Linked DNA regions of Danio rerio. The protein of the gene in region 2 interacts with the protein of the main gene of each other region in a pairwise test. Links are inferred from orthologs where the notes say so. Each region holds a gene or a part of one and is shown on either strand. Other genes may lie near its edges. The genes, in order: csnk1g2a, cert1b and rtn3.

Evidence for each region.
Region 1: the proteins of cert1b (region 2) and csnk1g2a interact in binary tests that used the Homo sapiens proteins (3 or more experiments, as listed by UniProt). The two-hybrid records come from large-scale screens. The link is inferred for Danio rerio from reciprocal best matches to the Homo sapiens genes CERT1 and CSNK1G2.
Region 3: the proteins of cert1b (region 2) and rtn3 interact in binary tests that used the Homo sapiens proteins (3 or more experiments, as listed by UniProt). The link is inferred for Danio rerio from reciprocal best matches to the Homo sapiens genes CERT1 and RTN3.

What each region holds. Positions count from the first base shown.
Region 1 is NC_133177.1:26,371,978-26,383,006, forward strand, and holds the start of csnk1g2a (casein kinase I), read left to right. Parts: upstream 1-6,033; 5' UTR 6,034-6,252; coding exon 6,253-6,492; intron 6,493-11,029. UniProt on the Homo sapiens protein: Serine/threonine-protein kinase. Casein kinases are operationally defined by their preferential utilization of acidic proteins such as caseins as substrates. It can phosphorylate a large number of proteins. Participates in Wnt signaling.
Region 2 is NC_133196.1:3,164,769-3,175,017, reverse strand, and holds the end of cert1b (ceramide transfer protein), read left to right. Parts: intron 1-3,560; coding exon 3,561-3,631; intron 3,632-3,718; coding exon 3,719-3,847; intron 3,848-5,478; coding exon 5,479-5,608; intron 5,609-5,898; coding exon 5,899-6,026; 3' UTR 6,027-6,032; intron 6,033-7,405; 3' UTR 7,406-9,515; downstream 9,516-10,249. UniProt on the Homo sapiens protein: Shelters ceramides and diacylglycerol lipids inside its START domain and mediates the intracellular trafficking of ceramides and diacylglycerol lipids in a non-vesicular manner.
Region 3 is NC_133182.1:17,683,573-17,694,335, forward strand, and holds the start of rtn3 (reticulon-3), read left to right. Parts: upstream 1-5,029; 5' UTR 5,030-5,197; coding exon 5,198-5,291; intron 5,292-10,763. UniProt on the Homo sapiens protein: May be involved in membrane trafficking in the early secretory pathway. Inhibits BACE1 activity and amyloid precursor protein processing. May induce caspase-8 cascade and apoptosis.

The DNA.
Region 1 (11,029 bases), on a different chromosome or scaffold from region 2:
GATTAGGCATGTACGGCAGCCGAGAGAGCTTAACGTGCTGCAATTTAAGAAAACGCGTGCAATTACAAAAAACACCAGCAAATTGAGAAAAGATCTGTCAGCAGATATGCTGCAAATCCTCACAATGCACACACATTTAAAAAAAAAAACAAGCTGCATTTCCACACAACACAAACATTAATAAAATGTGCTGAATTTTCACACAACACAACAGAAATGCTTCAAGAACAATCTAAAACGTGACGAACCCGGCAGTTTAGCTTATGGTTATTTAGACTAGGTTATTTAATAAATACTAAAGACATGGAATCGGGATTTTTAAAATAAATAAACTTCACAGCTTCACTGACCAATAAGGGCACAGCACAGCAGTGTGTGTCATGATTTTTGGGTCCACTTATAACATTTCTGTTGTGTTCTGTTGTTTTTGCTTTGTGTGCAATGCAGGGAGTTTTTTTAATGTTTTTGTTGTGAGAAATGAAGTACGTTTTTTTTTAATTTGAGAATTTGCAGCATGTGTGCTGTCAAACAGATGAAGATTGTTTCTTAATTTTCTAGTGTTTTTTTGTAATTGCACGCGTTTTCTTCAATTGCACCACGTTAAGCTCTCTCAGCCACTGTAGGCATTGCTGGTATACAGTTCTGACAGTATGATAACATTGCATTAAAAAAATCATGGTATTGTGATTACTACTCTTTTTAAATATCTGGGTAAAAAACGCCAACTTTTTCCCTCATTGACCACAATATATTTATTTTAAGATAGACATTTAAAATAGTTTGTAACAGGAAACATGTCAGGGTAAATAATTAAAATAAATCATTGACTACCTCTTACTTCATTAGTTTCATAAATAGATTTCTTCACAAATTGAAAAGGTATATTTGGATGTCTTTTGGCCACTGCACTTTTCAGGCCTATAGCTGGCTTGGATGTTCGTGTATAAGAGATTTGTATTTTAAATGTTTCATCAATCATGGGCTAATCAGTAGTGTGGAAGGTACCCTAATGCTGTTGCCCTAAAAAAAACTTGGTAAAATAGTCATAAAAATCATGTAAAAAACATATTATTAGAACGGTATATAAAAATGTACCGTTTTTAAAACCTTGACATTTCTAAATCGCGGTAAACCTTGAAACCTTGGTTTTCATCCCATGCCTAATCATGATGACGTTAAGTTCTATTTGTTGACGCTAATTGAATCACAGCCAATGGATCACAGAATTCTTTTGTTGTTGTTGTTGTTGGATAGTTATACATCATAACCAATTAATATGTGCTTGTCATTACACATGGACATGTATTTCTGCTTTCTGCTTTTTTTTAAAGGGGTTGTTTGTCAAGTTTGCCAATTACTTCCTTACCCTCAGGTCATCAAAGTTGTTGTTTTTTTATCACTAGAACAGTACAGCACGTTATAGCTAAAACTGCAGTTCTTTGTGATTCTAATTAAAGTCAATGGTAAATACAGGGTAAACAAATTAAAATCTATGGCTACTGAGGTCTTTTGTTGTGAACCAGAAGGTCTGTGCAAGAAACTGAACATTATTTACAACATTATAATGATTAATTCAAAACCCTTGTTAAGTCCTGATGTATCTGTGACGTATGGAATGCTGTTTCCAGGTCCAAGCCGCTACTCATTTAAATTGAGAAAATATTCATTTATGACCACTTTTTAGTCATATCATACATTAAAGAGAATTTTATATCAAATCGTAGTGTACACATTAGTCTCTAGAGTTGCTGCATCAAAAATGATACCAAAATCACATTCAGATATTAGGCATGGACATGTATATTGCAATTTTGATGTTCAAAAGTATAACAGCGCTTTGTAAATCTTAATTATTACAATTTGATGAGTCTCCATATAGAGTTTGATAGAGTGCTTGGACCTGGAAGTTGCTTTATGTGACGTCACACTTAACAAGCAGATCTGCAAAGGCAAACTCTCTATTGAGCTTGAGATGTTTTATACAAGTCTTATGAAGCGGTGGTTTTGTCAAGAGCCACATATGTTAATTTTGTATTGCCTGTATGTGTATATATATATATATATATATATATATATATATATATATATATATATATATATATATATATATATATATATATATATATATATATATATATATATATATATATATTTTTTTTTTTTTTTTATTGCCGATAAAACTTCCTATAAAACTGTCAAAAAATTGTTACCTGCATCTTCAATATCTTGAGAGTGAGTAAATTAAGAGCAATTTAAATTCAGCTTAAACTATTCCTTTTATGTTGTACTGTCTATTTGTTTATCAGTGATACTACTAACTAACGTTTTAGAATTTATTTAGTATTGTTCTCCTATAAAAAAAAAATGTGGCAGCCCAGTTTTATTTTTATTGTTTAAATTAGTTTATTAATTTATTTTTTAAGAAACAGTAAATTTCCTACTTATGTATTTTTCTCAAAGCATTGTTCTCTGTTAAATAACCAGCCCATGGAAGGCATCATCTGTAACATCTGGCACGGTGCCTCCCTCTGAGTCTGCTCACAACATAACTGAGACACTGGGTCCAGGATGACTCTTGCTCGTCTTCACACGACCTCAGGCTTCATCTCAAGCTCCTGAGGGATGTATTTTTAGAGCTGGAAGTCAGAAACGCTAGATAACATTTCCTGTAGGGAGATGGTCTCTGGTTTCGTGTCCCTTAAACCTCTGACTCTAAATTGTGCTTTTCATGGAGACAATGATAATGCAGAGCTGTCTTTATTTGAAGTCTTTAAATTGAGTATGAATATGATTTGTGCTTGGTGTGGTATAATTGTTGTTATTCATCATCATCTTACCATAAAAGTGTTGATTTATGAATTCATCAAATGGTCTTATTCAAAGCAACTTACTGAAGAGAAAAGAAAAAAAGAGCAAACAAGCACAGTACACAATGTCAGGTTTGTTAATCTGTTAAATTCAAGATGCAGAGAAGATATGCAGTTATATTCTGATGTGTGTGAGTGTAAATGCTTTAGAGTTTATTTTCGGTTGTCCATTTTCTGCTCTGTTCTGTCTTTATTTTCGTGTAATTTTCATGATCACAAATGCCAGATTTTTGGCTTTAGCTGCCTTCTGATTCCTGAATGATGTGATGGCAGAGATTAAAACCACGAGAATAAGTTGGATAGTGGCTTGACTCATTATTAGTGGAAAACAAACTGTTGCTCATTGTGTATCAATCTAGATCAGGGGTCTCAAACTCAATTTACCTGGGGGCCGCAGGAGGCAAAGTCTGGGTGAGGCTGGCCCGCATAAGGGATTTCACAAAGAAAAGTCCTCAAATGTCATTATTAACAGTTTTAATTATTTCTTCTGAACATGAAGTGTCCTGAACATTAATAGAACATTGAGTGAAGATTATGAACAGTTCTTCTGAACATGGCATCTTTTGCCTACTTCTTGCTGCCAGAGACTTGACAGCGCTTCTTCTCACAAATCTGAACCACATTTGGCTTTAGAGCGGAAGCAGTTAAGACCCTCAATATGGCTTGAAGATGATCATCATTAAGTCTAGACCTGTACTTTGACTTATTGAAGTCCTAGGGAAAAAAGTGGGTGAACTCACTCAAAACTTCCATTCCCTCACCTAAAAAAAAAGGCGTATATATGTATAAATAAAACACCCCCACCCCACTCCAGTCACCTCAGTCTGTACCAGTCTGTATCTACCTATAATATCAATATATATAAGATGCAGGGCAGGCACGTGCACACATAGGGCTCAACCTGTGCAGTGCACATGCCCTTTTTAGTCTTGCATAGAAAGTGCCCTTCCAAAATGATCAAAAGTGCCCCCGCGACGCGACACACCCTCGGTCCCGCCCTTTAGTAGGCGTGTGATAACACCGCTCTTGAGTACGCGCGCGACAACACAGCTGATCAGAACGCGCGCGACAACGCGCATTGAATGACAAGCGCGCTGTGTATGGATAGAATCAGCGGAGCGGGGAGCGCTCTCTCTCCCCGCTCCGCTGATTCTGTCAGAGTACAGCGGTCGGCGCGGGCCACAAAATATTGCACTGAGGGCCGCAAATGGCCCGCGGGCCGCGAGTTTGAGACCCCTGATCTAGATGATATACACCACATTAATTTTCGTAATTTGTAGTTTAATAATACAGGAACACATCATGCATTCAAATTTAGAACGTTGATTAAAATATTTGAGGTATCTTTGGAGGGTTAAGTCAAAATCATTAATATATTTTTGTCTTTTACATTTTTTTGTGATTAAATTATTGTGGGCGGCATGTTGGCTCAGTTTGCCTCAGCAAGAATGTTGCTGGTTCGAGTCTCGGCTGGGCCAGTTATTGTAATTTCAGTGTAGAGTTTGCATGTTCTCCCTGTGTTCGCATGGGTTTCCTCTGGGTGCTCTGGTTTCCCCCACAGTCCAAAGACATTCGCTACAGGTGAATTGAGTAAACTAAATTGGCTGTAGTGTGTGAGTGTGTATGTATGTGAGTATGTATGGGTGTTTCCCATAACTAAGCTGTGGCTGGAAGGGCATCAGCTATGTAAAACGAGCTGGAATATTTGGCGGTCCATTCCGCTGTGGTGACCTCAGGAATAGAGACTAGGCAGAAGTAAAAATTAATAAATGAACAAATGAAATAAATTATTGCAGACACCATACATTTGGGTGAAAAATGTAATGTTTCACCTTCATTTCCTTTTTTAAATATATTTTATGCTTTTTCAACTCAATTCAATTTTATTTATATAATGCTTTTACAATGCTGATTTGTGTCAAAGCAGCTTAACATAGAAGATTATAGTAAATTAAAACAGTGTCAGTCTAATATTTACAAAAAAAGATTTCTTCTTAAGACCTGTGGTAGTCTTTTTCTCCAGTGCCTTCTGCTCAAAATCCTAAATAATTAAAAAGGTAAGATTTTACCACATATTTACAGGTTTGGCCTGTGTAGCAAATGATCATCTCCTCTGTTTATTTGCTTTTTAGCACTGCCGGCCAAATGAATTCAATTTATTTAATTATAAATATGTGGGTGTGTTGGTATGGATATCAGATATCAAATGGATTCTACATGTATGTGTTTTTATGTAGCATTGCACAAAATACAATACTGCATGCTGCTTTTTTCATTACTGTAATAATAATCAATAAAAATCTTTTGTTTTTGGAAGTTATCAGGGCTGATACCAATCTGTCAGTGATGGTGTGAAACAAAAAAGAGATCATTTGTCAAAAACACTAAACAAGTCACAAGACAAGACACTATTTAATGACCAACATTCATTCATTCCATTAATTAATTAATTAATTCATTCATTCATTCATTCATTCATTTTCTTTCCGGCTTATTCCCTTTACTAATCAGGGGTTGCCAGAATGAACCGCCAACTTATCTAGCATATGTTTTACTCTGCGGATGCCCTTCCAGCTTCAACCCATCTCTGGGAAACACCCATACACTTTTTTTCACACACATATTCTAGGGACAATTTAGCTTAGCTAATTTACCTATACTGTGTGGGAAACCCCACACAAACATGGGGAGAACATGCAAACTCCACACAAAAATGCCAACTGGCCCAGCCGGTACTCGAACCATATTGCTGTGAGGCATGTTTAAAAAAAGATATAAAGGTGAATAAATACCAGAAATTTCACATAAATGTGCAGTCACTCTCTCATCACCATAGTGGAACAGGTGCCAAGAGAGTGGAGTTCTCTGTGTACCTTTTTGCAATCTATTTAGTGCTAATTGTGCCTTTCCTCTGCCCCAGATATCGTAAGATGTACTTCTGATGTGCCGGCAGTTTCCTCTCAACGGCAAGTTTGATATGCTGTGTGTTCATCCATGGACACAGGGAATGCCTGACAAATCTCTGCAGAACCACCTGGAGTGGGTGCAAAGGATGGAAACCGACGCTGGACAGCATCTCACTTTCACCAGCTAGGGTCGTGCGCATGTGTCCATCTCCCAAAGAACGAGCTCCTCTGCGGTTGGATTTAAGGAAGATTTCCATATGATGTCCTCATCCTAAATCACATCACCCTTGGATTCCACCATCAATAAAAGCCGTTCATGTGTAGAGCCATATTGTGGATAAGCCATTCCCTCCATTCTCTCTTTCTCTAAATTCCTCTCCTCCATCCCATTCCCCATACCCCTGTTGCTAGTTGTTTTGGTGGCTCTGTGATTTTATGGCAGTGGAGTAATCGTGGAGAGGCCGGGGTATCACAAGCTTATGGATTTTGATAAGAGAGGAGGAGGAGGAGGAAAAGGAGAAGCGGAGGACGGAAAGAGAATGTCTAAGACTGGCGGGAGCAGGACAGGGCATGGGGGCAGCCGAGGCTCCGGGAACAACACTGGAGTGCTTATGGTTGGCCCGAATTTTCGGGTGGGAAAGAAGATTGGCTGCGGGAACTTCGGCGAGCTTCGACTCGGGAAGAATCTTTACACTAATGAATATGTGGCCATTAAACTGGTAAGTGCCTCACAGAAAATAGGGCTTTTCATTTACACAACAACAATGTGTCCAAAACTGTTTTAAAGGTTTCGCATCTCACAACACTTTAACTGTTGAAGCATACTTTATCTGATTGCAATAGTTTTAATTCTGTGAGGAATTTATCTTATTCACTGCGTTTTTGTTAAAGCAATTTTTAAACGGTGTTAAACCAAATACTAGGGATGCTCCGATCGATCGGCTGGAAATCGGTATCGGCCAATAATCACATTTTATGACTCGATCGGTACTTGCCGATCTCATGAACCGATCGCAGGTGTTTGTTAACGGGTTAGCGGCGCTACATGTGAGTAGATAAATGATGTGGGGTGGGTGGGGGGTGGGGGGTGGGGTTGGGAGTGATCGCAGCAGTCCCAACACAGCAGTTGAGATACACACAGATGTGATGTGGCCTCTGTTTATACAGTTTATTGATGCGACTCGTGCGAGTGATGGTCTCTTTTGGCTTGTTTTCACTGAGTGGTACAATACGTTACGGTACTGGTCGGTAGGGCTGCTCGATTATGGGAAAAATCATAATCATGATTATTTTGATCATAGTTGTAATCAAGATTATTCAAAACGATTATCAGTTGAAGTCAAAATGATTCACCCTCCTGTGATTTTTTTTATTTTTTATTTTTTTATAAATATTTCCTGAATTATGTTTTACAGAGCAAGGAATTTTTCAGTGTTTCCTATAATGTTTTTTCCTTTTATTTTGGCAAGCCTAAAAGCAGTTTTAGATATTTCAAAATCTATTTTAAGGTCAATATTATAAGCCCCCTTTGGCTATATATTTTTTGATTGTCTGCAGAAGAAGCTACTGTTATACAATGACTTGCCTAATTACCCTAATTAAGCCTTTGAATCGAACTTTAATATGAATGCTTGTATTTTGAAAAATATCTAGTAAAATATTATGTGCTGTCATCATAGCAAGGATAAAAGAAATCAGTTATTAGACATGATTTATTAAAACTATTATATTTAGAAATGGGTTGAAAAAAATTCATTCCATTAAACAAAAAATGGAGGGAAACGGGTTGCTAATAATTTAGGAGGGCTAATAATCAACTGCATATATACTTAGTTATTTTCCTCACTGTAAGTAGGAAAAGTGAAATAAATACAATAGATTAAATATATGAAACAAACTGTGCTTTAAGCATCTTCATTGTAAGAAAAAAAAACTTTAAATCTAGTTGCAAAAGTCTTTCATTTTGTCCTTTTGTTGTTTGATTAATGATTAAAACAGTAGGCAGCAGGTATATTGCGTGCTGTCACTTTAAGAGCAGTCCCGTTCTGGTTTTTCTTTCACATGTCTTTTGATTCTCAACTCTTTTGTTTATTAAACAAAGGAGGGTTAATTTAAATAATCACTAAACACCGCATTTTGACACCTATTAAACTATTAAAGCGCTCACATTAGGATGACTTTAGATGTGTGTGCTTTGCTCGTCTTTGAGGCTGAGAGCGCGCACACACAACAGCAGCATGTGCTCTCTCTTGCGCTTTTAAAACATGAATGATTTGAATGTACATCAATGAATGAAGCGCATCCCGTGCTGCAAACATTACATTACAGTACATGCTTTTAGTAATGTTCACATGAAATTGAGCTTTGCAGAGCAACAAATGTGTACAATTGGAAAGGGGGTGGTATATGATGCAATAATCGTTTCATCTTGATTAATGCTTTTTCAAAATCGTTAGAAGCCGAAATCAATTTTTCGATTAATTGCACAGCCCTACTGGTCGGTACGGCATTGTAAAGCTTAAAGCATCAGAATTGGTACTCTGTAACGGCCGATCACCATGGCAAGAAATTGGTACTCTGTATCGGCTGCAAAAATCCTGATCTGAGCATCCCTACCAAATAAACATTTTTAGTAAAAAAAATAATAATATATTTTTAATATAATCTTTGTCTCTAGTATACTTTTTCTCACCATAAAAAAGGCCATAGAAGCTGGCATGATGTAAAACTCAAACAAACAATCAATCACTTCTACACAAGAATGTTTTCAATTTGTTTTTGCGACACGCATTTGCAAAAGTGCTGTATTATGTATGGCAGGCCAGTATTTGGTGCCGTCACCTTGTTAGTTTACAGTACCTGTAAGAAAGTGACGACGTGGTTGAGCACTGGTTAATACATAAAAGTTGCTGTGTGTGTAAGATCTTAGCTTAGGTTGTTTAAAGTAAATCCATGTGCTCTGTCATTGTTGTATGTTTATGTGCACTTTAATCTAAACCTTCCTAAACATGCACATGCATAATGTCATTGTTTTCTCGTTTACATGTGAATAGCGACATTTTCAAGAAATGGACATTTATGGTCATTTTAGTCCTCAAATCACTGTTGTCCACTTTCACTGCTGCCTGTAGTGTGTGTGTGTGTGTTTGCTATTACAATGTAATTACTTGTACTGGTGACAAGAGTCTTACATATTTTTTGTTTGAACCAAATTGTACATCACAAGCAACGTTTCCATCCACCTATTTTTATGCGCATTTTGTGCGCGTTTTTGCACATAAAAAACGGTTGATGGAAAGCCAAAATGCAAATAAGTTTTAAATGCTCACAAAGTAAAAGTCTTAGTGTTATTGAATTATTAATTACCTCAAAAATGGTCAAGGGCGTCTATGCTCCATGTCTGACACCTTCAAACGCCACCACGTGTTAATTGCATGTTGGCATACTGTTTTCTGAGCTGCAAGTCATTTATTAAATAAAGAAAATATTCCCGCTGCTTCTTCTACCACAGCAAATATTTGGTGGCAGTTAATCAGCAAGTGACGATTTTGTTCTCTTTGACTACTTGACTACATTCTAATTATTTTCAGGAACGTACAGCTAAGTTGTTATTTGGATTATATGTGTTGTTTTGTATCATATGGTAATGTCTGGCTCGCATGTTGTCAAAAGTTGGGTATCAATCGGTAGTGAAATTTTATAAAGGTTAATTTCCCGCTAAATTATATTGAGTATTTCAGTACCTTTTGTGATCAGAGCGCCTCAGACATTCTTCCTGACGGATTAAGTCACTCTTTCACACACTTCACACCACAGGAAAATAGTCAAATATAACCTTTAGAATCACCAAAATAATCTGGACATCACCTAGGATTGTTGCTAGTAAAGAAATCAGCTTAACATCACTCCAGTTATGTTGTTGTGTGTGTCTATCCTAAAGTATTGGCAGGGTAATCATGCCGAATAATTTCAGTTATTATAAAACAGACCAAGTAAAACAATATGTTAAATACTAGAATATAAATTGATAGCCATTTACTTTATTCCATACAAAGTTGTTTTTTTATGTACACTGCATTTCTCTTTCTTTTCTAATAAATGTATAAGTATTTGGTAAATTTTTGTTATATAATAATATATTATATATATAATAATATATTATATATATATATATATATATATATATATATATATATATATATATATATATATATATATATATACATATATATATACATATATATATATATATATACATATATATATATATATATATATATATATACATATATATATATATATATATATATATATATATATATATATATATATATATATATATACATATATATATATATATATATATATTTAGAAATTCTGCAAAAATTTATATTGGTAGATCACAATTACCAATAAAAATAAAAATTGGAAGTACAATCGGTGCATTTCTAATCATAACATTACACTTTCGTCAGTGTTTTTGATCAAGTAAATTAAGTCTTTGTATGAATAAGAAACGTCTTTAAAAAACATTGCAAAATTTCAAAGTAAATACCCTCAAACTCGTGTACATAATTGTTGTATGATTGGCAGGTCTCATAGTGTCTTAATGGTGCTTAGTCTGTTGTTTAGAAGAATACCTGCTTTTATTCTGGTTTGTGACTGTGCAAACTGCAAAATAAATGAAAAGTTTTTCCTCCATGTGAGTATTTTAGTTTGGTTGGGGTTGTTTTCAACTCTTCATAACTCTTCAACTTTTTTGATAGTAATGCAGTAATGCGCAGCTATTGTAAAGCTGCTTTGAAACAATCCTTATTCTAAAGGGCGCTATATAAATAAACTTGAAGTGAATTGAATATACATGACACCAAAAATAAGTTATTACCTTCAAAGAGGAGTTAGTGTTTTGAACATGTAAAATATATAATTTCTAACCATTTTCTTTATAATTTGAGTTATGAATTACAGTATCGCAATACTATTTGGTATTGTAAAACTTCAGTTGATATAGTATCGTAAGATGAATTAATAGTATCGCAACAACCCTACTAAGAAGTAGGAAAACTTCAAATTCCTTAACAAAAACCAACCACACTTCTTTTAGATAAATTTATTTGCGTTTACCATTTTGTCATTATCATGTCTTACACTCCTCTTGGCAGGGTTTTTGCATTTAAATGTGCATTTTATTTATATATAAATTTATATAAAACTTATATATATATCATATGCTTCATAAAGACTCACCCAGTTACT
Region 2 (10,249 bases):
AAGAAGTGGAAGATCCTCCATCTGTTGGTGAATGGCATGATATTGTAAAAGACGTGTGTGATATGGAAGCACTGTCCCTTTTCTGAAGACAACAATCCTAAAAACTTTCTTCATACTGGGGAAAGCAGGGTGTCTGTGGGGTCTTACAAAGTATTAAAAGTTAATAAGTCAATTATGAGAAAATTAAGTCCCTTAAAAAGCCTTAATCGCGGTTGTTAATCGAGGTCTTAAATTTTGTTCACAAGTGTTTGACTCCAAAAAACCATAAATATATTTATTTTTCTCCTAATATTAACAACAGCGCGCTCGACCCACGTGATTGGTCCGGGCCGGGGCATTTCCGTCCCAGCTCCTCCGTCTAGGTGATGTCACGTGTATAACGTAAAACAGGGTCATAAGAAGTAACACATTTAAAAAGCAACTCATGTAAACACCTTAATCTTATTATTGTCTTAATTAGATTAAAGCTAATACTTCGATTACTGATGTCCATGTGAATGTAGTCATTGAATCATTAATAAATACTTGCCACTTGCTTCATTTTTAAATGGATCTGACTTTTTAAATGAATTGTTTGTAGAAGGCTTAAAATACTATGAAATACCCATGATATTGAAGTATGATATTAAATTATAAAGTCTAAATTTATCTGTGAATCCTGTGAATTTTTATTGTCTTCTTCAAATATTTCCCAAATGATGTTGAACAGATTCAGGAATTTTGCACAGTATTTCCTCTAACATTTTTCATCTATAGAAAGTCTTATTTGTTTTATTTCAACTAGACTAAAAGCAGTTTTTAATTTTTTAAATGCATTTTAAGGTCAATATTATTAGCCCCCTTAAGCTTTATTTGTTTTGGATTTTCTCCAGAACAAACCACTGTTATATAATGACTTGCCTGATTACCCTAACTTTACCCTAATTAACCTAGTTAAGCCTTTAAATATCACTTTAAGCTGTATAGAAGTGTATTGAAGAATATCTAGTCTAATATTATTCACTGTCATCATGGCAAAGATAAAATAAATCAGTTATTAGAAATGAGTTAATAAAACTATTATGATTAGAAATGTGTTGAAAATATATAAAATAAATCAATCTCAACAAAAGGATGATAAATTCTGTCCTCAACTGTACATCTTTAAGCATAGCATTGACCTTTTGTGTGGCATGAACATGTGAGTCTATTTATAATCCTGTAAGGCTCTGCTCTGAATAATATCATTAATAATGGAGACCATCATCTGATGAGTAAGCTCAGTTTGGTCTGTGTAAGCATCATACACTCTTACAACAATTTTACATGCTTTAATATGATGACTTACCAGAAGACTTTCAGGATAATGTCTGCCCAGAAAATTTAGCCGTACCTGCTGATGGTCACTGTCCTGATTAATAGTGATGTATCATGGGTAGAATTACATCTCATCCATCTTTACTGCCGTGTTTCAGCCTTTAGTTGGTTTATTTTTAATGCTAGACAGATACCACAACACATGCTGGCTCAGTGGCTACCACTGCTGCTTCACAGCAAGAAGGTTGCTGGTTCGAGTCCCGGCTGGGTTAGTTGGCATTTCTGTGTGGAGTTTGCATGTTCTCCCCGTGTTGGCGAGGGTTTACTTCGGGTGCTCCGGTTTCCCCCACAGTCCAAACATATGCGCTATAGGTGAACTGAATAAACTAAATTGGCCATAGTGTGTGTGTGTGTGTGTGTGTGTGTGTGTGTGTGTGTGTGTGTGTGTGTGTGTGTGTGTGTGTGTGTGTGTGTGTGTGTGTGTGTGTGTGTGTGTGTGTGTGTGTGTGTGTGTGTGTGTGTGTGTGTGTGTGTGTGTGTGTGTGTCTGTAAATATGAGAGCATATGGGTGTTTCCCAGTACTGGGTTGTGGCAGGAAGGGCATCTGCTATGTAACACATATGCTGAAATAAATGGTGGTTCATTCCGCTGAAATAGAGACTAAGCCGAAGGAGAATGAATAAATGAGATGCCACAAATAATATATTTTTAAAAAGAAATAAAAACAACATGCCTACATAAACACTTTATTAATTTATATGATGAGAAAAATGTAAATGGTAAATTTTATTTTAAAATGATCTAAATCAAAAATATTAATTAATAAATATTAATAAATAAAGCAACATGTTTACATGTTTTTCTTTTACTTTCTGTGTAACATATATATTTTTAGATATAAAAACAAAAGTGTTTAGATACTGATGAAAGATCTCATTTTTGTCTGAAACAGACAGAATATTTGTTATATCTTTCAAACGATATGAGCATATTTAAAAATAAAATTGAATAAATAAAGTAAAAAACAAAAACAATCAGTTGTCAATCTCGTGGCATGTTTTTTTGGTTTTACTTGGCATATTTTACATGCACAAACATCTTTTTTTATTATTAGATTTTGTAATACATAAACACATTTACATGTAGTTTATTGTCCAAGAAACACAACAAATGTGCTCAAATGCAAAATATAAATGCAAATTTACAGGAATTCAAATGTTTCCCATATTGTTTTAAAGATATTAAAAAATATGTTAGGAGTTGTTGAACTTACAGAGCTGGGTGCACCTCTAAAAAGATCTAAAGGACTCAGACATGGCGCCGAATGAATCTACACTGTTTTTCAGCCTTCCTAAAGCACACAAACACAGCTAATATCTTAATAAAATACATGTTAGCCATTTAGCAACAAAACTAGAGTCGCCGCGCAGACAGAAGCCCTGGCCATGACGCAAATTCACATTTATTGTGAAGCTAATTTGGCGAGTAAACTCAAAATGTTCACGCATCTGTTTACGCATGAATCACACAATTTATTTGCGCATGACACGTCTGGTGTGAACACAGCATTAGGATTTTACTTGACATGTTTTATTCAGTACACAAATGGCTTTATTTATTAGATTTTGTAATACACAAACACATTCACATGTAGTTTATTGTCCAACAAATGTGTTTATATGCAAAATATAAATACAAATTTACAGGTATTCAAACTCTGCCCATATTGTTTTGAAGATATTAAAAAATATATCCGTTCTGAACAAAATCTACATCTTACATCAGTATCTAAACATGTTTATTTTTACATCTAAACATAAATGTTACGAAAAGAGTTTCTTTAAATTATTATTGTCCCTCTAGAAAACAAATACTCCAATTTTTCAAGGTTTATTAAATTATTATTTTAATTGTTACTATTTTAACTACTTTAGTAAAATAATAGGAATTTAGGGCGTACTCACACTATGTACAGTTGCCTTGAACCGGGCCGAAGCACGCTTGTCCCCCCCAACACCAACTGCCAACTGACCCAAACCAGCTGCCTTCTTGCTGTGGGGCCACAGTGCTAACCATTGAGCTACTGTGTCGCCGGTCTAATATTCAGTTCAAGTTTACTTGTATAGCGCTTTTCACAATAATAATGGTCCCAAAGCAGCTTCACAAAAGGCGCACATCATTACATTCCAGTCCAAATCAGAAAGGTTAAAGAGCTGTGTAAAGGCTTGGCCGTATCTAAACGTAATCTTCATCTGTGTCTGCAGCTACTGTAGAAAACTTCAACATTGTGGAGACGTTGTCCGATAACGCCATCATCATCTACCAGACTCATAAGGTGAGGAGAGCGAATAAGTTTACACTGCTGTGTGTAATGCGTCCCCTCATGATCATTTCCCTGACGGACTGTTGTGTGTGTGTTCAGAGAGTGTGGCCGGCGTCCCAGAGAGATGTCTTATATCTGTCTGCCATCCGCAAGATTATGGCCAATAATGAGAACGACCCAGACACGTGGCTCGTCTGCAACTTCTCCGTCGAACACGACAACGCCCAGGTGAGTCTGGTCTCCATGGTGACCGCTGCATTTGTGCCGTCTGTTTTGTTTTTTTTAAATATATTTTTATTGAACATTTTTTTGTGCAAAAACAGGTCAGAAAATTATATTGAGTGTAAAGATAACAGAAGTTTACATACACTGTATAAAAGGCACATAACCATTTAAAAAAGGTCAGATGTTAATGTGACTAAACTTTTCCTCTTTTAGGTAAGTTAGGATGATCAAATGTGTTTCTGTTCTGCTTAATAGCAGAATAATGAGAGAGATTTTGTTTGAGAAATTGTTATAACTTTTCTTAAAAGTCAAGTTTACAGACAATAAGATTATTCTGCCTGTGAAAGAGCTCAGATGATGATGTCAAGGTTTTGGAAGTTTCTGATTGGCTAATTGACAACATTTGAGTTAATTAAAGGCACAACTGTAGAATAGTATTGAAGGAAAAGCTCAAACACACTGCTTCCTTGTGTGACAACATGGGACAATCAACAAGCCAGAATCAACAACAAAAGCCAGATTACAATTTGCTAAATTTGGAGACATGTCCTGTGCTCTGATGAACTAAGATTGAACTGTTTGGCCATAATGAGCAGTGTTACATTTGGAGGACAAAGGGGAAAGCCTACAAGCCTAGAAACACCATCCCAACTGTGAAGTATGGGGGCGGCAGCATCATGTTGTGGGGCTGTTTTGCTGCAGGAGCGACTGGTCCACTTCACAGCATAGATGGCGTCATGAAGAAAGAACATTATGGAGAAATACTGAAGCAACATCTCAAGACATCAGCCAGGAAATTACAACTTGGCCACAAATGGGTCTTCCAAACAGACCATGACCCTAAGCATACTGCCAAACTAGTTCAACTGTGCTTTAAGGACAACAGAGTGAATGTTTTGGAGTGGCCATCACAAAGCCCTGATCTCAATCCTATAGAAAATGTGTGGGCAGAGTTAAAAAGCTTTTTCAACTATTGTGAGAAGCTTATGGAAGGAGTCCCAAAACATTTGACTAAAGTTATACAGATTAAAAGCAAAGCTAAAATAATACCAAGGAAATGTGTGTGAATATTTGACTGTCTAGAAATTAATAAGAAAATTCTCAAAATAAAGTTCTCTCATTATTCGGGGCATTTAGCAAATGTAAATGATTTAGGTAATCCTAACGGACCTAAAAAAGTAAACGTTTAGCATGATTTACCATCACACATTTTTAAAAATGGTTATGTTCCTTATTTATAGTGTATGTAAAATTCTGGTTTCAACTGTATAAGTATTTGTGTGTGTATGAATATGTAATAAATATATTTTATCTTTATTTTATACTATTAATTGTTTAGTTACTAGTCATTTTTGCCATGCATTAAAATAGAGCACGATTATGTATTGATAATATATAGAATTTTAATCTGATGTGTGTATGTAGTATCTAAATATGATGAATTTTGATTTAGATATGATATGGTGAATATTCATATTTTTTGAAAAATGCTTATGCAAATTCACCAATTTACATTATGGTATATGTAATTATTAAGAAGAGGGTGTAGTTAGCATGTAGGCTAGAAAATGACAATTCTGTAATATTTAGATTTATGGCTGATGGTATGTTTTAATGCTTCTGTCTTTCCATAGCCAAACAACAGATGCGTTCGAGCTAAAATCAACATAGCGATGATCTGCCAGACGCTGGTCAGTCCACCAGAGGGAGACAAAGAGATCAGCAGAGACAACATCACATGCAAAATCACATACGTGGCCAACGGTGAGACTCGCTGCTCAAATAGTCTTAAAACACCGAAAGAGAGATTTTAATAATGCAGAAATATTAATATATACAGTTATGTGAAAAGGCCAGGATCATTTTGTCCTGATGATAGTAAAACTGGAATTCAATAGGGTGTCCTTAGAGTTATTAGCCCTCCTGTTAAATTAAATTTTTTTCATATGTCTTCCACCAATTTTTTATTATTTTTTTATTTATTTATTTTTTTAATTTTGCCCTCAACTGTATACAAGTTATAATAACGCTGAATGAATGTTTTGTGAACGCAGTGAATCCGGGTGGCTGGGCTCCTGCATCTGTCCTGAGGGCCGTCGCTAAGCGAGAATATCCCAAATTCCTCAAGCGCTTCACTTCCTACGTCCAGGAGAAAACTGCCGGCAAACCCATCCTCTTCTGAGCACAGGTACACCACATGTATTAACTACACCTGACTACAGAAGTGGAAAATGTATTGGGTAAAAATAATTAATGATGCCTTGTTGAATTATTAAAAATGTTTGCACACCCTTACAACGTCAAATCTGCATTATTTATATAATAATTCAATGTACTGGAGTGCATTATTGCACTTATACTCTCTGGTTCCCACAGCTTTATATTTTTATTTAATTTGTTTGTTATGCAGTTTATTATTATTGTTTTGTAATTAGTTATATTAACAGCTGTTATTATATGCATTAAATTATCTTTTATCTTTATTGCTGTAATTATTATATCAGATTGTAACATGTACTAGGTAATATGTGGGTATTGTAATCAATTTTACTTTAATTAGTTTTTTTTATTATTGCATTATTGTGAAATGTAACTAGATTTTTTTTCCACATTAAGTTTGTCATTTTAGTTTATTATTGTTATTATTATTATTATTATTTAAATATTTATTTTGTCTTTCCTAATATTTTTAATATATTTATTTATACGTAAATAATATATTCATAAATTATGTCTTTAAACTCACCGGCCACTTTATTAGGTACACCTGTCCAACTGCTTGTCAAACAAATTTCTAATCAGCCAATCACATGGCAGCAACTCAATGCATTTAGGCATGCAGACATGGTCAAGACGATCTGCTGCAGTTCAAAGCGAGCATCAGAATGGGGAAGAAAGGGGATTTAAGTGACTTTGAATGTGGCATGGTTGTTGGTCTGGGCTGGTCTGAGTATTTCAGAAACTGCTGATCTACTGGGATGTTCACGCACAACCATCTGTAGGGTTTACAGAGAATGACAAAATAGGTAACAGTTACTCAAAAAGCACTCGCTACAACCAAGCTCTGCTGAAGAGCATCTCTGAACACACAACACGTCCAACCTTGAGGCAGATGGGCTACAGCAGCAGAAGACCACACCGGGTGCCGCTCCTGTCAGCTAAGAACAGGAAACTGAGGCTACAATTCACACAGACTCACCAAAACTGGACAATAGAAGATTGGAAAAACGTTGCTGCTCTGATGAGTCTCCATTTCTGCTGACACATTCAGATGGTCGAGTCAGAATTTGGCATCAACGACATGAAAGCATGAATCCATCCTGCCTTGTATCAGCGGTTCAGGCTGGTGGTGGTAGTGTAACGGGGGGTCCAACCCGGTATACCCGGTGTACCTAATAAAGTGGCCAGTGAATCTATGTGTGCTGTATTTTATTTTTTTATTTTTTTATTAATTGGCTTTGTTGCAACATGTATTGTTCATTTTTCAACATGTGACCTCCCAGAAAATGCTAACGGAATTGATTATTGTGAAATGTAATTGTATTTTTGTGTTGTTCGCAGTTTCCCGGTTGAGCTGTCCGTGTGTCTGATCTCCAGCTCTGCACTCCAGCGCCCTCTAGTGAACAGAAAAACACACTGCGCCTCTTTTTTCCAGACTGTTCTGAATCTGCTGCAAAAGTTCATGTAGCGCCACACTACTTCACACAGCAGAGGACGCACCACAGATATCTAGATTCATACAAATATAAGTCAATGTATGTATGTAAGTACGTCAGATGGCAGGTTTATATATAAATATATATATATATATATATAACGGGAGAGATTTTGAGACAGGCTCTGTTTTAGTCCTGATTATTAGTTGTTTTTTTTTCTTTTTGAACAAGCATTTCAGCTTTGCTTTCATTGTCTGCGTATATTCGCCAACGTTCAGATTGTTCCGGCGTGTTTGTAAATGTCGATGTTTCGCCGTCTCTTTTATGAAGCGCAGAATGAGTCGCTGAAGAAGAGATGAAACGAACGATTGTTTTCTTTTGTTAATCCGTGTCTGAAACACCGTAGCACAAACCCAGATCGATCATAACAGGCAAAAAACACAATTTAATACGTCAGATTATTTGTGTATATAAGTTCATTATCGCTTTAGATGGTCAGTCGACGCTTTAATCTGACTAATTCAACTCCATATGCCTTAGCAAGTGTGTGTGCGTGCGTGAGTGTGTGTATGTGTGCGCGACTCCAAACACTTCTAGAAAAGTGCCTCATTATTGATCTTGCTGATCGCCCACATCCATTATATCAGAACGACTTTATACGAAAAGAAAACATTTCACGACGATTTCTTACCTCGTATTATTTAAATGTGATTTTGCAATCAGATTGTGTCATCAGAATAGTGGCATCTTATTGGAGGAGCCCTGATGCCAATCAAATTTTTTCTGTCCAATAGGAGGATGCCGTTCGAATTCGGGGGCATAGATGTAGATTTACGTAGTTAGTTGAGTTTGTTTGTTCGTTTATTTATTCGCTTCTTTTCTTGGTTTAAATTTGTACAACGTAAATTTATTCGTACAACGTAAAAATCTAAATCACAAACTATTTGAAACAATCGAACAAGGCACAAACAATTTTCATCTTGTTTTTTTGAGATCCGGGAAAAGATTCGGTAAATAAATTTCGGAATTTTTTTTTTTTCTGAAAAAAAAAAACAATTTAAATGCTTAACATTTTAAGTCTCGTTTTTTGAAAATATGTTAATGTTACGTGATTTTATGCTTAAACCACAACAAATTGCATATTCTTCGAATTATGTAAACACATTTTTATTATATTAAATAAATAAAATTAATTAGAAAGTATAAAGCTAGTGTATTTTTTAACTCGGTATTTTAAGCATAAACTCCCTTAATTTTCATGCATTTTTCAAAATCTTGATTTAAAACGTATCGTTATTTATCAGAAAACAAGACGAAAATACTAAGACAATAAATTTAATTGCGACGTTATTTTTTTTTTTGCTAAACATTTTCATTAGTCAAACCTACCCACAAAAGACTGTTAAATACAAAGTAGTGGACGACGAATAGCCAAACGTAGAGCAGATGCACGATCACAACATCCGAGTATTTACGGTAACATTTCAACTAGATGCGATTTTTCAAAACGGTAAACTCGTACAACTTAAACATTCCAATCGCACTCGCTGAACCCGAATGTACGAAACCACCAGAGCGAAACCGTAAACAAAACTGAATGTGTTACTCTAAAATAAAACAGCTGTTTACTGATTGGACTGTTTTTGGTGGAATCGGCCAATCAGGAGAGAGTTGAGTGGAATTAGTCAATCAGGAGAGAGTCGTATTAAAATGGCAAATCAGAAGATAGTTGGGTTGTATGGGCTAATCAGGAGAGAGTTTTGCAAAATTAGCCAATCAGGAGAGATCTGTGTGGAATTAGCCAATCAGGAGAGAGTTGTGCTTGTGACGCGCGTCGCTCTAATACAGTCTAGTGTTTTCTTAGTTGCATTGGCACTGAATGTAATGTCATTGGGTTCAGATGTTTTCGTGTACATACGTGTCACTCGAGGTGTCAGGATGAACATGTACTGTGAATAGAGGGCCCAAACGCTGCCCTGTTTAGAGAGGAATAAAATGATTGACATCTTTCTGCACTCTCTGACTCTTGTGCTCGTTATATTTGTCTAATTAATGTTGGTTTGCTTGAAGTTTAGTTTTTTCTCTCATTTTTAAGTTTTCTAATTATTATTTTGTGTTATTGAGATGCTTTTATTAATACTTTTATTATAATTCAGATTATTTTAGAAATGTTTTATTTTTTCACTTTAAGTTTTAAATATTTTAGGGTTTTTTATTTGTATATTAATTTTAAATATTAATTTTGCCTTTATTTTTGTGTGTTATTAAGATGCTGTTATAGCTTTTTATTTATTTGACATGTTTGATTTATATTTCATTTACAATATTTTAGGTTTTATTGTATATTAATTTTAAATATTAATTTTGCCTTTGAGATGACCGTCAAAAATGCTGCCTAAGCAAATATTTTCAAATACATTTATTTATATATAAATGATATTTCTATAATTTACAAATATAATATATTTATTTAAATATATTAATCTTTGCACGCTCTAGCTGCAATTAAATCAATAAGTATCATATACATTTTATAATCATTGTTATATTATTATTATTATTATTAATAATAATAATTATATAAATTATATTTTAATATATTTGTTTTCATTCATTTTCCTTCAGCTCAGTCCCACAGTGTAATGTACTGTCAACTTATCCAGCATTTGTTTCACACAGCGGATGCCCTTCCAGCTGTAACCCAGTACTGGAAAACACCCATACACTCATTCACACACATACACTACAG
Region 3 (10,763 bases), on a different chromosome or scaffold from region 2:
TTTGCATACTAGACTGTAACACTAAGAAAAAAAATAGTACACACACTTGACATTACCATAGAACAGATCTAGCACAATATAGCACGAAATTCGAAGCCAATATTTTCATTTGTGTATTTAGAAATGTTACTTACACTGCAAGGTTAGAATTTAAAGGAAACTTAAAAATGCCAAAATAAAGGTTCTGGGTCAATGTATGTCCCTGCACAAACTAAATTGATTACAATTTGAAGGCATTACATTTATTTAGTGTTTTATGTGTATTTTACACAGTATTTAAAATGACACATATAAGTATGATATTGTGCAAATATTCCACCTGGAAACACAATAAAACATACTGTGAATGACATGCAAGATTCAGCAAAGATTAAAATGTTTTTTGAAAATCAGTTCTGGTGCCATTATTGGGTCATTTCTGACCCTGATTTAAAGCACAGCAAATAAAATAGACAAATATTTAAAGTGTGTACTTGCTGGCTCAAAGGATGCCAAGTGGTCACTTAGGGAAATCCCCAAAGACACGTGTATAGCCACACTTGATGTCCCAAATGTAAAACTTAACATTAAATTGGATTAATTAGCTGTCAAATCCAAAATAAAGCTTTTGGATTGGCTAGAGTTGACATTAGACAGGTTGAACGTTTTACCTCAAGCATAAGCTCGAGGTAAGTTACAGTATACTCCACTGATACCAAGAGTTACATTTAAACAACCAGTATTCAGACATAATAAAAGAATGCCATGCAAGATGCTATCAATAACGACCCAGTGCATGAATTTTTGAGCAATGAAAACAGCGCAACAGCAACCCATGTGCGCCTGTGTGGACATCTGCATGATGCTGCTGCAGCTAACGTTAACTAGCTTGCACAAAATATCAGCTTCTGGTGTTTTTCTAGGTTAGAGGGCGTTTTGAATTAAACATATTGTTCTAGCCTTGCTTTCTAAACAATAACGCGATGCGTTGTTTCATCCACAAAACATACCTTTGTTGAAATTACATCCACATGCTTTTGTTTTGCTCCTTGCTTTTGCCGCGCAGTCAAAGGACAGAAGCTTCTACAAAACGCCAGAGACGTAAACAGTCTGCTCCTACGTCAAAACGTTGAACCGGGCAATCCTATTGTTCACAGATCACTTCCGGGTTCTAAAAGCATTTTGGGAAATGTAGTAGTGTCATCGTTGCTATTAATGACGGTTGGCGAGCCAGTTTTTGCTACATCACCGCCAGTGTTTGGAGACGAAAGTAGGGTGTGCACCTTACATTCATTGGTGTGTATTGACTAAATTACTTCCAAAGCGTAACGTTAGTCTGTTGCTTGCTGATTTTCAACTTACCATGTCATTTAGTCAATAATGTTTTTGGATTACTTTTACTTACGCTACTTGGATTACCTTTGGATTACTTTTGATTTTGTGCCAGCAGTTGTGTAAAGTAACAAATTACAAATACTCAAATCATTGTAATTGAGTAGTTTTTCTCAGGAATTGTAATTTACTAAGTAACGTTAGTTTTAAATTTGTATACTTCCCCTTGAGTCCCTCTTTTGTGCTGTATTGGTACTTTTACTCCACTATTTTCCTTCAACCTGGGTAAAGTCTAGATCGCATATGCGGTCGGCTGGAAGTGCGATATGCACATCAATACCAGCCTTTTTTATGACACTATATAGGCCTAACAATAATTAATATTTTAACAGTACTATGACGGTTTGGTTTAGGGTTGAGGTGGGGATAGCCGGCGTTAAAAACTAAAATTTAATAGGTAATTTAATAGATAGCATAAATAATACTCAGTACTACTACTGTTTTAACATTACTGTGACGGTTGGGTTTAGGGTGGGGGTAGACGTTAATTTAATACAATAAGTAGGAAATTTAATAAATAATATAAATAAATCTCAGGCGACCCAGTGGCGCAGATGGTAGTGCTGTCGCCTCACAGCAAAAAGGTCGCTGGTTCGAGCCTCGGCTGGGTCAGTTGGTGTTTCTGTGTGGAGTTTGCATGTTCTCCCTGCGTTCGCGTGGGTTTCCTCCGTGTGCTCCGCTTTTCCCCACATTCCAAAGACATGTGGTAGAGGTGAATTGGGTTGGCTAAATTGTCCGTAGTGTATGAGTGTGAAGGAGTGTGTGGATGTTTCCCAGAGATCTGGAATCTGCAGCTGGAAGGACATCCGCTGCGTAAAAACGTACTGGATAAGTTGGTGGTTCATTCCACTGTGGCGACACCGGATTAACAAAGGGACTAAGCCGAAAAGAAAATGAATAAATAATTCTTGTTAACTTCCGGCCGCAAGCATACTGGATCTGATCTAGCAAAAAACTTTAACCTGGAGTCACTACTTTATTTTTTCTTATCTATGGGTACTGGCTGAGTAGAAAATCAGTTCTGTATTTCCCGTCTAATCAAATCCCACATAGAAAGTAAATCACATCCTACTGAACAACATCAAGATATGGCTGCTTTATAAATGCAGCAAACCGTTTGGAAGCATTACAAATGTCCAAGAAGATCTTCATACGCTATGAACCAGAGAGTGTTTATAGACGGCATGTCACTGATGAGAAAATGAAGGATGTCGACTGCATGATGACTGAAATTGCCAAACAGCACTAAACAATCACTAAATGGAACAAATGAAGAATGAAAGGAAGGGTCAAATGAAGGAAGGGCCGAACAAGGAAAGAAAGGAAGGACTGAACTAATGAAGGAAGGAAGGACCAAATGAATGAAGGAAGCAATCAAGAAAGGACTGAACAACTAAGGAAGAAAGGAATGAACGATTGAATGAATGAACAAATAACCAAATAAAGAAAGGAACAAAAGAATGAATGAATCAGTGAACGAATTAAGGAGGGAATGAAGGAAGAAACAAACAAATTAATGAAGGACAGAACAAACAAACAATAGAAGGAAAAAAGGAAGGAAGGAACAAATTTAGGAAGATCACTAAATGGACTACAGAATGTTACGTTTACACATCCCTGCACAAACTGCATGAAAACACATCAACTTTTCAGAGTGTAATACTCGCTACTCTTGGGTACTTTTACTCATTATTTAAGTAATATTTACAACACACACTTTCACTCTACTTGCACTACATTTTTAATGGTACTTTTACTTGAGTATGATGTTTCAGTAATCTTTTCACCACACCTGTTGCTGATTTCAAAATTACTTTGTAATTTATTTTATAACAATTCTGGATTACTTTTTACGTACTTGGATTACTTTTGGATTACTTTTGACCTAGCACCAATGACATAAACTTGAAATATTTACCAAGTAGGTCAAAGTGGTTAACAGTAATCTGATTATGGGTAGTTTAAAACGTAATGTAATCTGGTGTTGTGGAAACAGTCTGCATAATCTAAATGACTTATAATTAGTACCGAAACTGTAAACATAACATACACACCTATTTGTATTTGTGATTTTGCCATTATGTTTTACATTCAATAAAAACACTATCAATTACTTATATGATTTAATTATAGATGATTGAGTCAGGATTACATATACTGTCTTAATTTGTTAACATAAAAAAAAAGTACATCAGCTTCGTCAACTGTTATTAGTCTTCATTGATAATGTTTTCAAAGTTTTAAAGGGCACTTATTTTACCCCTTTTTTAAGATTTATGATAAGCCTTTCGTGTCTCCAGAATATGTCTGTAAAGTTTCAGCTCAAACCCAGCAAACACATAACGCTCCCTGAATGTTTCTAGAACGTCCTGGGAACGTCCCTGCAACAAACATGATGTTAATTGCTTAAAAAATGGCCTTGACATTCTTTTTGTACAACCAAAAGGAAAACCAATTGCTAACAGTCAGATACAGTGCTCAGCATATATAAGTACACCCCTCTTAAATCTCTCTTTTAAATTCATATTTTTAATAGGAAGCAGTACAATATTATATTTGTGCATATGCATTACATTAGTCGGTTCTAAAGCCAAATCTGGAGCTTATCTAACAAAATAACTTACGATAACGGCCCTAAAACTAGTACAACCAAATGTATATGTTATAGAAAAATATTAAATACAAATTTAAAAAGAGGAAAAATTAAGAGAAGCAAAATTTTTTTACATTTAATAGAAATTTTGTAGGTTGTAATTTTTTTTGCAATATTTTGCTTAAATTTAATTGTATTATCTTTCAATTTCTAAATATATTTGGTGACTAAAATATTATTTTAATAATTATATCTGTTTAATAAATCTGTTTTGTTTAAATGCACCAAAATACAATGCCTATACACTGAAAAATGGATAATCATGTTCATATTCATGGGGTGTATTCAATTATGCTGAGCACTGTAGTTCTGAAAATTAAGTAGGAGTATACCTCTACACTACAAAAAATGCAACATGTCGTAACTCTACATTGGGTCGTGGATGAATTTGTAAATGAAACCTTGCTAATTAAAAACTTGACTCCTTTATTTACAGTCTATAAACGCAACACTATGGTTAACCAAAAGGGGGCGCTGTTGCACATGAAATAAAATACAGATCCACCATTTACTGTCATGGTAAGAAATAAAGATCCAGGGCTAAAATGCGAAAAGCATTACATAATCACATCCCATACAGTTGCACAGTGTTTAGTGTATCATTTCTAAGTAGACGAGGATAGATTAGACATCAACCTAATCCAAAACAGTCCGCAGTTTTTAGGATTAACAACTGTCTGGATGGTCAAGATAGAGACTGTAGAATCAGATATTATTTACTTTGATAGAGCAAGCATAAAATAGTTTTAATTATACTTTAATACAAAAAACACAGTTTATAACACGTGATACTGTCGGAATGGGACAAGTCTTTAGTTGTAAATGAAATAATTAATTGAACGGAAGAAAATTGAAGAAAAGAAAAAGTCAGCCACAGTATCTTTATAGTTTTTATAGTTTAATGGCGTAGACTTTTATGCAAAACATCGACCTCTCACCCTATTATCTCTCTCTCTCTCTCTCTCTCTCTCTCATATGTACCCGCCCTATATGTGTTCCACCGCCCCCATCCACTGCAACATTCAGGCAGGTTCACCTAATGTGCTTGTGCAGGCTCGGTGACGCCGCTGCTGTACTGGGAAATACTCGGTGAATCGGGACCGCTCAGAGTTTCAATCCAAACCTCAATCGACACCTCTATACTACAGACCCTGTAGAGCTGCGCGACAAAAAATGGCAGACCCAATGACCCAATCTTCTCAGATTTCGTCGTCACAAGGCCTAAACGATGGACATTCTGCAGCGTCTAAAGACTCAAAGTTTTCCGGTAAGACAACGCAAACGACATGCAGCACTGCCGTTAAATTGGTTATGTTTGCTTCTAAATTTAGAACGTGTGTTCGTGGATATTCTAAAACGGAACTGGTGGAAATGCTTTTGGCAGGTCACTCTGACTAGAGCATTTTATGACAATACAAACCGACACACTGATTCAGATCGATTCGAATGAACTTGCATGCTTAAAATGGGTTGAGTCTAATATTGGGATACTCTCGTGTTATGTAATGGTGTTGGTCTGTTTATTTCTCACGTACACTTTCCATAACGCCTCCTCTTGGGCATTGTAGGAAGACTATATTGACATTTTGTAGGGATAAATATCATGGCGGATGTCAGACTCAGAATGAATGTGTTCTCATCCACAGCTTTGACCTAACGTTTATTTTTAGGAAAAGGCCAGGGAGAAATATGAGGACACATAATACCTCTTTGAACCCATGCTGAAATGGGCACATGTTGCGGCTCAGCTGATGATCTGCAGTGCAGATGCATCCGAAACTGGAGGACCGTGTAAATCAAGGGAAAACCTACATACACACACACCCATCTACATTACTACCGACGTGACAAGCTGGAATAATCAACAGAGCTGTCTAAAACCCTATTATAAATCGTTCTTTTGAGTTGAATCTTAAGATGAATTAATTAAATCATTTCAAGCAATCGTTTATTTATTGGAAAATGTAACAATTTTATTAGTGCATAATAACATTTTTGTTGTAAATAACTTTTTTGTAACTGTAATGGCTACAATATATTGAACTAAATACAAATTTAATTAAATGCTTCATTGATGAAACCATAATACGCCTGCGTGTGGCTGTAATGGATTTTGTATTGGAAAATTTTTTTTTGCATGCTAGGTGATTGATGCCAAAAGTCTTTAAAAAGACAGAAAAACTTTTAATATGGAACCAGATTGTATGTTTGGATAAGCATCCACAACCATTGGAAATCATGTTGATTTGTAAAGGAAACATTAGCTAGGTTTCCTTCTAAAAATGTGAATTAAACTGGAATATCGCATAAAAAATATTCAAATAAGGCATTATTTCCATCCAATGAATCAAAGCGAACAAAATCATCACTTCCGGATTAACTGCCGTCAAATATCAACAGTAAAAATGGAATTTGCTGCAGTAGGAGAAGCTGCGTGAATCTTTTCTTCATTTAATAAATGCCTCAGAAGGCAATCCGGACATGCAATGATCGTGTTTTGGCGTTTGAAGGTGTGAGACGCAGAGCACAGATGCTGTTGACAGTTCTGGAGGTCATTAATAATATAATAACACTAGTACTGAAATGGTTAAGAGGTTTTAGAATGAGAAAAACAACATTTCAGATGCTTTACAATGTGCTCAGCCTGCTGGTTTGTCCATTCACACACATTTTTATCATCACATGATCTTTTATAACAAGATCACTTGACCTTTTTAATACGCACTCTGGAATTTGTTCAGTAAAGTGTTTACATCACAATTCATGCGCATCTTTTCTTATTGAACAAAAACGTTTATTCTACTCGGTTATGTGCATATGTGTTTTATGCGCATTTTTAAATTTATAAGCTTCTTGGCGTTTCCATCAACCGGTTTATATAAAAATAGGTGGATGGAAACATAGCTAATGTTATTGATTATTAGTTTAAGCATAAATATCGCAACGTGCGTTTATGCAATAGTTACAAGGCAAGATGGTCAATGTCAAGTCTGGAGTATATTTGACCAGCACAACAGTTCAGAACACGTCATTGCAAAGTTGAACTATAATAAATATGTGAGTGAAAGTTTATCAGTTTTAAGGCTCGTGACTGTAAGCATTTAAAGTGAGTTTTAAAGTATTCAAGCACAAGAAATCAAAATGTTTTAACAGTGATTTTTCTTTAATATGATAATGACAGAACAGTTGTGTTTTACATTTGATTAATTAATTTCAGTACCTGAATCTGTTAGACTTTCCGAAAAACAAAGCAATATTTAATATGTCTCTATTGTAAAATTATATATAACCATTCATGTATGTAATTATATTGCAGATAAAAGCAAATATTGCAACATTTTCAACATTATTCAGCCCTTTAAGACATTTATAGATTGGCAATCGTTAAAAGACTTTTGTCACTGATTGCCTTTAATGATTTTGGTCATTTAAAACCAGTTTATGAAAGAACCAGTTCACATAAATGAATCAAGTTGCCTCTGTCAAGTCTAAGTACATGCAAAAAAAATCTCTCTTAATAATTTGTTCCTGCTTGTCACGTTGTTTGCAGTTTAAGCACAGGCTTAAAGACATATGCTTTATTTTATAAACGCTAAACAAACCTTATTGCATTAATGAATGCTTTATTAGCCTGTCCATATTTACACATTTGCCGTCATGACATGCTGACCTTTGTTGGGTTTGTGTATGTTTTCCCTTTTGAAAACAATGAAATGATATACACAGGCCTTTGTTTGGTTCGTGCATATTTTTCCGTTGTGAAAACAATGCGGCGTGGTTTTGGATGACTGGATGTTGGTTCACAGCTTTTTAGGTCGTCAGCATATGTGGAGCGCTTCTGGCCTCCTTGCTTTGGCTTCATTAAAGCGTCTGGGAATCTAATAGAATTAGAACGTGAAGTTAAGACTTGTGACGTCACCCTGCTCTCAATTTTAAAGTCGTTTGATGCCTTCAGTTCAAATGCTGCTTTTAGCTCTTGAACTTGGACGCATTGAATTCAGTTGGGGATCAGAATCTGAATATTGCTGGATGTAAACATGACTGTCACGCTGGCTTACTATCACAGACACCATATGTGAAGGTGACAGTGGACCAGATGGTTAATTGTAGCTGCGTTGGCTCTCAAAGACATGATCAAAAAGTCCTATAAATCATTGGACGGTGCATAACATAACACAAATGACTAAACGAATATAATAAGCTGGTCAATTGTGCCAGACTTGGCCCAGTGTTGTTTTACTGCAGTGTTCTGGGTTTAATTCAGGTTAAGCTCAATTGATAGCTCTGAACTGACAGTTGGCACTTTAATTTGGAAATCTGTTGAGCAAGCATGCAATGATAGGCCCTAGGTTTTCTTTTTAAGTCATAATTAGTCACAAAACTCACAATTATTTGTAGTTATTCACAGCACACTACTATTTCTTTCATTTAAATAGACTTAAGGTTCATATTTTAATGTGTAAAATATTTTAAGCATTTCGATATGTCAGAATTTGTTCTTCTATTTGTTTTCTAGTTCATTTTGAATGACTCAGAAGCCACATTGACATGGAATTAATGAATTTGGCATAAATTTTAAGTACAGTAGGCTTTATTTTTGTGAGGAATTTATTTTAAAGATATTTGTATCACTGTTAAATCAAATTTCAAGTTTGAGTTTTTTTTAAAATGTTTTAAAATGTATAACTGCAGTACACACTTAAATTAGCCATACAAGCTAATATTGTGTTAAACAGAAACAAACAACAAACGTACAGTATTTCAAGATTATTTAAATGAAATTTAATTTTAAGTTCATTAAAGGTGCATACATAGCCTTTACAATAAATGTAGCATGTAGTATATTCATATAAATATAGAAAAATATTAGCATTCAACAACACTGTGCATGTCAACATCCCAAAAGCGTTTTGTCAGCTACGCCTAGAAGTTCCTGGCAGACCTTAACTTCTGTTTAATGCAGAACAGTTTTTCAAAATATGTCAGGACCAAGAGAGCGGCTCATAAATAATCTACTCTAGCTGTATCGATACTCTCTTTTGCTTTGTCAGAAAACAGTGTCTCACTGCCTTTCCCTTCTGTCTGGGTGTGAACCCTAAGGTTAGTACAGCTGGCTGAGACAGCAGTCTTAAAGCATTAGGTGTCATGATTCAGTCTCCTCGGGAATAGAGCTGATATTGCTGGCATGACAGAGATGCCATACAGGCTCTTCCAGTGTCAGAGGTCAATCCAGTCCCACTTTAAGCATCGCCCTGTAACACAAGCCGTTTTGGTGCATTTAACCCTTGCCCTTGCAATAGATGGTATCACAGAATCAGTTGTGTTGGATAACTTCACAGCATTTCCTTTTTGAATGTTTGCTGGCTAGCTACATGTGACAAACCTAATTTTGTAAGTTGAAAGGCATTATGAAATCAATTTAATCAAATTGTCCCATCTTATTTTTGGATATTTGATATTTTTGATCAATGACATTTTAGAAACTGAAGATGCTTGACCCTAGTAGCAAAGAATTCTGGCCCAGATTTGGCATAAAGCTGGGACATCAGGCATTCATCCGGCACTGGCATACAGCATGTGGGCCAAACATGGCCCGGGTTTGGCAGAGGTGGCACCGTCTTTAAGGCGGCACACAGGATTTGGGCCAGATGAAAAACTTAGTATTCGGCCCAGATTTAAAAATTTGATAAGTGGGCCATTTGAGTTTGGCCAGTCTTGACCCACATTTAAAATACACTAAAATCATTTTTGAGTAAAGAAAAAAAATTCTACCAATCAGGTCACTTTGAGAAAAAGCGTGCCCATAGTGTGCCTAAAGCGCATCACTCCATGGGTTTATCAATTTCATTGCAATCGTGACACACCAACCTATCTGGCCCAGTTCAGGCCCAGTTATGAGTTATTAACTTGGCTGAGACTTGGCCCAGATATGGTCCGTGTTTGGCCCTTGTCTGGAAGCCAGATTTGGTCCAGTCATGTACCGTAATTCACTGCGGCATGTGGGCCAAGCAAAACCTGATTGTGTGGGCCAGAGCTGGGCCAGAGAAATTTTGCTATGTGGGGAGTTTCTGTGCAAACATGGTATGCTTTCTTTCTTAACTTAATTTTCATTTACATGATGTTTCTTAACTGAAACTGCTCATGAAGTGACTTCCAGATCAGCTCTGGAGGTGAAGTTCATGTCCTCGTATAGTGAGATGGAAGATGCTGAAAACACCAAGGCTTATTGAGAGGATGGATACAAAAAATACAACCATGCCATACACACAGAACATGCAGACTTGGCCCTGACATACTTCAAACAAAGATATTTTTCATTCTTTGCTTGATAGAAAAAGAATTTTAAAATGGCTGAGTGACGCTTTACTGTTTTCAAACACTCCAACACCCCCAAGCTGCAGTAGGTGGGTTGTAAATGTGTCACGCTGCTCGCGTTGCTAGCTTGCTGTTGTTCTCCTCTTTGACCTCCATGGATATGAGATGTTAATCAAATATCAAATAAGACAGACTTCCAGAAAGCACCCGCCGATTACGTAATCATTATGGACCAATTGACGCTCAAAGGGGTTTAGGAACTCCCTCAACAATTTGCTTTGGTGAGCAGTTTCAAACTACCAAAATGAGCTCAAATAAAGGTTTGTTTTGGTTGGATTTTCTTTGAAATGACATTATATCTGTTTCCTTTTTGATTTTGTTTGAAGTATACAGGACCTTTATTGACCTTATTCTGCAATTCGGA